Astyanax mexicanus: one gene and its partner. The protein of the gene in region 1 interacts with the protein of each later gene in a pairwise test. Links are inferred from orthologs where the notes say so. Each region holds a gene or a part of one and is shown in the gene's direction. Other genes may lie near its edges. The genes, in order: mapk7 and ube2c.

What was found.
Region 2: the proteins of mapk7 (region 1) and ube2c interact in binary tests that used the Homo sapiens proteins (3 or more experiments, as listed by UniProt). The two-hybrid records come from large-scale screens. The link is inferred for Astyanax mexicanus from reciprocal best matches to the Homo sapiens genes MAPK7 and UBE2C.

What each region holds. Positions count from the first base shown.
Region 1 is NC_064422.1:10,147,117-10,151,045, forward strand, and holds the start of mapk7 (mitogen-activated protein kinase 7), read left to right. Parts: upstream 1-1,504; 5' UTR 1,505-1,966; intron 1,967-3,535; 5' UTR 3,536-3,547; coding exon 3,548-3,866; intron 3,867-3,929. Other genes in the region: vkorc1 (vitamin K epoxide reductase complex subunit 1), read right to left, coding at 158-348. UniProt on the Homo sapiens protein: Plays a role in various cellular processes such as proliferation, differentiation and cell survival. The upstream activator of MAPK7 is the MAPK kinase MAP2K5.
Region 2 is NC_064412.1:6,312,897-6,316,825, reverse strand, and holds the start of ube2c (ubiquitin-conjugating enzyme E2 C), read left to right. Parts: upstream 1-856; 5' UTR 857-985; intron 986-1,905; 5' UTR 1,906-1,915; coding exon 1,916-2,016; intron 2,017-3,323; coding exon 3,324-3,351; intron 3,352-3,904; coding exon 3,905-3,929. UniProt on the Homo sapiens protein: Accepts ubiquitin from the E1 complex and catalyzes its covalent attachment to other proteins. In vitro catalyzes 'Lys-11'- and 'Lys-48'-linked polyubiquitination.

The sequences.
Region 1 (3,929 bases):
TTAAACAGCGCCCCAAACAACTTAAACACCCCAAACAGCACGCCAAACACCTTTAAACACACCTTTAAACACTCCAGACAGAATCTCAAACATCTTAAACACCTGTAAACACCTCACAGCAGATCAGAGGAAGGGCCCGTGTATGAACACACTGTACCTGGAGGTGAAGACCTTGGAGCAGCTCACAGACTCCGCCAGGTCACACATGGCTCTGTATTTGGGGTCGTGCTCCTTGGAAAGCTCGACGTGGAGCGCGTAGACCGAGAGAAGCAGCCCTAAAGAGCAGAGCAGGACCCGGGCAGCCCGCTCCCAGCCCGGCACCCCAGCAGGAGCTCCACCCGGCGCCATAGCGACTCTAAAACCCGCGGTAAAAACCTGTAATATCAGAGAAACAGCCTTTAGATCCAGCCCGGACCGCACTGACTCTACAGCACAGCTCTACCGAGTCAATAAAAAACTTCTGCAACGTGGAGGAACTGAGTGAAGCGCTCTGATTGGACCAGATCTCTGCTCTGCTCTGATTGGACAGTGGGGGCAGATGTGGACAGCTGTGTAAATCTACGCAGTTAATAAAGGACGTGTCCCAATAAAAGTGTCCAAATGGAGCATACTTTATATATCCACTCTATACACTCCCTTTATGGCACAAAAGAACATTGAATAAACGTTCATTGTTTGGTTGCATTACATAATTTAAAGGAGAAATCTGGTATGAAATGGACTTGTAGTAAAACATGGTTATGAGTGTAAACTTTAATCGAATAGCAAACATCTGTTTTCCCCCAGGGTTCAAAAATCCATCACTTTTAGCTCTCAACAGGGTTACAATGCTAGAAATAGGGGCATAGGATTGCCCATGCAAATGAATCACTTTTTACACTATTAAAGGGCTGACTCCATTCACAGCTCAAATGTGAAAAAAGCTAAAAAAAAAAATGGAAGGGGTAGTTTGGCAGGGGCACTGGGTGATGTATGGGTTTAGAGGCAGGGCAGGAGGGAGAGCTGATTGGTTGAGCTGTAGCAGCAGCAGTGTACCTCTGATAGCGAAAACCTACTTGTTACCATGTTTTACTTCTACACCCCAAGCCCATTTCACACCGTATTTCTCCTTTAAGTAATTAATTAATTAATTAAGTTATTAACTTGTGCCAAGGCACAGCAAAATTCGGCATCTTAGAAAAAGGTGCTACATTGAAGAATGTAAAACATATACCTTTTATGTTCGCTAAATATTTACATAGGTTTATATGTTTGTAGATTTATGGATGCATCTTCATAGCAAAGTATTAACTTACAATGTATATTTTTTTTAAATAATGAAAAACAAATGAAAAGAAAGTGTAAATGTGTGTCCCAACTTATGTCTAGCACTCTATATCTTTTTAGCAACATGACAGCGATCAAATATCGTCATATTGTCCACTCCTCCTTCTCCCACACACACACACACACACACACACACAAGCTGGGTGTGTGAACGGTCTATGGAGTAGACAGTAGGTAGGGGGAGGAGCCCCTATATCCACATGTAAACACAGTTAATCTTTATCTATTAATCGGTCCACTTTAAACCCTCACAACTCGCAGAGTTTAAGACTGAACTGGTCTCTACTGATTCTTGTGTTTTAACCGAGATTTCGCCGGTTGTATGATTTGTAATTTGAGGGTTTAGCGCTCCTGATATCGTTAGCTTAAGATCATTTCTGTCGACACCGCCCAAAAGAATGGCCCTATTCCACTGAGAAGATCCCGCCCCCCAGCCAGGCGGCAGACGCTATTGGCTGATTGGGGCAGGAGGACGAGTCTGATTGGCCAGTGGCGCTGCCACTCGAGCACAACTCGAAAGAATACGAGGAAGTGAAGCAGGTTTACCGTTGATTTACAACAAACAGCGGCGGGACAGAGAGACAGAAACATGTCTGGAGAGACGCGTTCAGGATTATTGAGGTCTCGGTGATTCCTCCAGGTAAAAGCAGTGTTCCTCAGCTCTTTAATACGGTTATTGTTTTAGTTCTGAAGGAAAAAGGGAGCAGACAGTAGGGTAGGTTAGGTTAGCTGCCTCGCTGAGTGGTAATACATTAGCTTCTCTCAGCTACATCATCTCCCTCCACACCAGCTCACAGCTTTATACTGTTTTATTTAATTTATATCAGATTTATACAGTTTATTTCTCTTTTATAGTGCAGACAGTGACCTGTGAGCCTTAAAACACTTGAATTTATAATCTGCAGTACAGTATTTTCCAGTGTAGCAGGCTACGAGCAACGTAAATCCAGTGATGCTTTATACTGGATTTTCATATTGTTCATTATTATTTATTTATTCATTTTATTTCAGCCTATATTCAACAGTTGTGTGTGGTTGTATCCACTCAAAACCTCTCATTTTATCCTCTTTTTCTTATTTAGAAATAAACATTCTGTGCCTTTAATTTTGGTATATGTAAAAGCAAGTCTCTTCTGTTTGGCTGCTGTCGGTACTGGGCATTCATTCAGAATATACTTCCATGGGAATTGGGGCTAAGTAAAATACTGTATCTACTGTATTTAAGTACTAAAATGCTGTATCTGTATCTACTGGGGTATTATTTTTGCTTCACTACTGTACTTAAATACTGTATCTGTATCTACTGGAGTATTATTTCTACTATACTACTGTACTTAAGTACTAAAATGCTGTATCTGTATCTACTGGAGTATTAATTTGACTTCACTACTGTACTTTAGTACTAAACATGCTGTATCTGTATCTACTGGAGTATTATTTTTACTACACTACTGTACTTAAGTACTAAAATACCGTATCTGTATCTACTGGAGTATTATTTTTACTTCACTACTGTACTTAAGTACTAAAATGTTGTAGTTGTATCTACTGGAGTATTATTTTTACTTCACTACTGTACTTAAGTACTAAAATACCGTATCTGTATCTACTGGAGTATTACTTTTTCTCCTACTTCCACTTTTATTTCACTACATATTTTTGGATGAGTTTAATTCTTTTACTCCAATACATTTTTTACATGCTGCATCATCACTATTCATTAAAATAAAATAAAAAATATTAGGAATCATTCCAAACCCACATTATCTGGGTTTGATAAAGCTGCTCATCAGATCTTATAAGAAGATCTCACTGCTCCCGTTCTGCCTTTCACTCTGAGAACTTTCCACTGCTTTCTGTAATAACTACTCTACTACACTAATAACACAGTACTGTACTTTTAGTTTCAATACTTGAGTATATTTTGGGATAAACAACATTTTTAGCAAATGAATAAATGTATGATAAAGGAATGCTCTAAATGCATACTGAGCAGACTTATTTAAAACTCCCTGCTTTCTTTTACTATGGTTTTATAGTTTAAGCTGGTTATTTATTGCCAGCTGCTTAACACCTACAAGAGCCATAAGCTGGTTGTTGTATAACGTCAGTCTGGCATCAAAGTGGGTATGATGCCAAAGTACCGGTACAACATTTTTGGTCCGTATTTTATAAACTGACCTTGTCTTTCTTCTCTCCTTCCTTGTAGTTACAATTAAAGATGTCGTCCAGCGAGGTGAAGAAAGCTGAAGAGGCGAACCGGGGTCCGGTGTGTGACTCTGTGGGCGCCGGCAGCAAGACTGGGTGCGACAGTGAAAGTGTCAAGAGCATCCAGGTTCCTGTGGGAGAACTTCATGCTCAGCCTCCCAGTGATGCGACCACGGGTTCAGACGCGAACACTGTGGCGGCAAAGAACTTGGCCTTTCTCAAGGCCCACTCCCTAGATGTGAAGTTTGAAGTTGGAGAAGAATATGACATCATTGAGACCATCGGCACTGGTGCATATGGTGTCGTTTCTTCTGCCAGGAGGCGAGACAATGGTAGGAACCATTTGAACTTTGGTCGTCAGCATCAGTGCTGATTTTAAAAATGAACGCCATTCT
Region 2 (3,929 bases), on another chromosome or scaffold:
CCAAAGTCTAGAGGAAGAGTGGAGAGACACACAGTTCAAACTGCTTGAGGTCTAGTGTGAAGTTTCCACCAATCAGTGATGGTTTGGAGAGACATGTCTCCCTCTGCTGACAACTATTACGGAGATGTGGATTTCATTTTCCAGCAAGATTTGGCACACTGTTCACACTGCCAAAAGAACCATTTGGTCTACTTTTCTGAGATACTGGTTTTTGAGTTTTCATTAGCTGTAGGCCATAATCAATAACAATAAAAGAAATAAGTGCTTAACTTTTCTCAAAATGAAGACATCACTTTAGTTTCTGAACCAGTTTCTCTGATTTTGCTATTTATAGGTATATATTTGAGTAAAATGAACATAATAGTGAACAATAGTGAAATAACAAAAAAGACACAGAACTGTCAGACCTCAGATAATGCAAAGAAAACAAGTTTATATTAATAAAGTTTTAAGAATTCAAAAATCAATATTTGGTGGAATAACCCTGCTTTTTATTTCACAGTTTTCATGTATCTTGGCTTGGTTTCCTCCACCAGTCTTACACACTACTTTTGAATAAAAGTTCAAGCAGTTCAGGTTGGTTTGATGGCTTGTGATCATCCATCTTCCTCTTGACTATATTCAAGAGATTTACAATTTAGTAAAATATTTTTTTCCCCTTTATTTATATATAAATGCTGTGGAGATAGGAAGAGGGTAGGTTGTCCATATAAACTAGCTCTGTCTGTACTGCATTCAACGGTCGCGAGCCACGCCCCATGCCGGCGCGACGTCCAATCAAATCGAAGAAAATCGTGAAGCGCGTTTTTCAATGGTTGCTAGGACAGACTTTTGTTTTGAGCGCTGGCTCCTGATTGGCTGAGCGGCTGGGCGGAGCGCCGGAGCGGTTGGGTGAGAGTCAGTTTAAACAGGGGGGCGGGATAAAGATTTAAAAATCTCACTGTGGAGTTTTACTGACTGTTAGAGACGGGACTGGACGCAGCCGGTAATAACTAGCCTAAATACGCACTGAATTTTACTATTTTGTGGCTTTTATTGTGAAATAATAATGAAGCTTGATTTGTATATCGATAGGTTATCGATTTAACAATTAATTTGAGCGATTTGGTTGGATATAGAGTGTGGGATGGCTTTAAATTTGCTGTGTTTTAGGAAGCTAACTTAGCTAGCCTAGCTTAGCTAGCGTTAACTAACTACAACTGCTCTTTTAGCTAGCGTTAGATTAATATATCATGCTTTAAACATGTTAACCTAAGACTTAAGTATCTATAGTAAACCTAGTTAACAAGTTTGTTGGATGTTAGTAACGTTAACGCTATTTATTTCGTTATGTTTTGGACGTGTGCTGCGTTTAGCTGTGCTAAGCTAGCGGTTTCTAACATAGCAACGGTTTGGTCGCACTGCAGTGTTTTAATGGCGTTGCTTTGCTTGTGTGGCTAATAAGCTATTTAACTGAAATGTCACGATTTAGCTAATCATTTTAAACGTTTGGTTGAGGCTAAAAATGGTTAGATTTTAGATTAAATACGTATTGTTAACGGTAACTCTATCTAACCCAGGGCTCTGGCTTGTCCTGAGCTAGATTAGGTTAACGTTAATTCAACTTGAGTTTAAAAAAAGGGAGAAGCTAAAGAAATGATGATATTCTTACGTAGGGTGGGTTAGTTAGGTTAAAATATTAGCCATGTATGTTTAATAGATAATAAAAACGAACATGTAAAAGATCTGCACTATGTAAGTTAATGTTATCTCTCTCTCTCTTTTCATTGTGATGTGCTTAGTAGCTGGCTAACCTAGTTTAAGAGGTGTAACATATGTAATAATCTGTTATAATGGATATTGTTAATGTTATGAACACACTGCTGAATGACACTCAATCCATAACCAAGTCATGTCGATTCTCAGGTTTTAAGCAATGGCCTCCCAAAATCTGGATCCTGCGGCAGCCTCCTCCACAGCTGCTCTGAAAGGAAATGAATCTGGCGGAAATGTTCCCAAAGGCTCAGTTTCAAAAAGGTACGCAGTGACTTTCCGTCCTCACTTCCAGAACCAGTGGTGATGCACTGATGGCAATTCTAGGCCGATACTGGTTTTACAGGAACACGCACGTTTTGTTTTATTGTTTTATTTGAATCCTCATTAGCTGCTATCACCATAACAGCTATTCATCTTGAGGTCAACTGCACATGGCATATTCTGCAGAATCTGTGTCTTTTCTGGACCCAGGAAATTAACATTACATGTATAAATGTGCACATAGTAATACATTTCATTAAAAATCATAGTGTCTTGTACATTAACCTAATCACAACAGTTAGTTGTGTAATCTTTTTTGGAAAACTGAAAAAATATATAATTTGTTACCTGTCCCTACTCTGTAACTATAAACTTTAACTATGAAGTATAATTATTAAAATCCTTCAAAATCCCTTACGTGTTTTGCATTGTTGTGAGACTCCAAATCCCATCTATGCTTAAAAAAATATTTCTATAGTTTTGTGTTAAAATACAAATTTTAGTGCCATTTTCAACATCTATCACTTGCGTAGAGGTTACACATGCTGGCCTAACTTTAGAAACAAATGTAATGTTTATTTGCCTTACAGTTTAGCTTTGAACCAACTGTATGCAAACAAAAAAAATAAAAGATTTCTCCTAAAACGTTTCCAACATTTTTGCTAACTGGTTCTTACATTTTCATAAAAAGTTGAATTCTCTTTAAAACTAGTATCATAACTTGATAGTCATGGTAGAAGTTGACAGATAATTATCATGACTTTCATCGCATTACAAGTCCATGGGGGCGTAATAGTATGCAATGCAACAGTAAAGATTTATTTTTATTAATTGTATGTGTCCATTCTTATTTGTTCATTTTGAAATTTTAAAGCTTCAACTTCTAGTCCCTTAATTTTAGATGCTTTGAGTTCTGATACTACTAGTATACACTACACAGAAATATGCTATTACTATATGCTGAATAGAGTTTTAAAAAGAAAAAAGGGGCCTGTTTATGTATATAAATATGTAGCATAGGTCAATAGCTAAGCTCCACATCCTGTTCAGTGCACAGTATCGTGTTGGATACGCACAGATGCACATTTTGCAAACTGCACTTTATACCTCCAATTTGCCTTCTTGCCACATCCTTGTCCTGAATTGCATGTAAAGCTGTGCACTGAGTTTTTAAACCTTTAAGAAATATATATTTATTTTTGTCTTTCATTATTTTTTCCAACACCATGTACTGATAATCTTGATTTACTTCATAATAAATACCTACACATTACTGATTGCTGTTTTTGGTCTCTGTATGTTTCTAGACTTCAAAATGAGCTGATGACTTTAATGGTGAGTGTTACATTTTTACATTTTTACATTTTTTCATAGTAACATTTTTACTCTTTAATGCTTGAGTATACATTAGGGCTGGGCAATATAAAATTGTAGCATAACGTGAGAAATGTGGTGGTGTAATCAGTAGGGGTGTGCCATATCGTATCACACACACACTTTCACACAAAAAAAAAACAATGACACAAATAAAAAAGATAAATACATTTAAAAAATCTGTGTTTTTCAAATAGCCAAGAACATTGTAATTGAAAAAGTACCATGAAATATTGTGGTGGTTTTTATTAGCATATCGCCCACCCCTAGTAATCTGTGATGCACATCTGTGTAACTGGTGTATTTCTTCATTGCTTAAAAGCACACAGACCTACAGCATGTTTTGAAGTCCTGTTAAATTGAAAGAAATTCATCACATTGTGGATGACATTTCTATTTAATTAACTCAATCTGCCACTATACATTTTGTCCTGTAATACTAAGTACTGAAAAAATGTATTTAAGTATTGTATTTCTTATTATTTTTATTAACTTTCTTATTGTTTCATTCCAGATGTCTGGTGACAAAGGAATTTCTG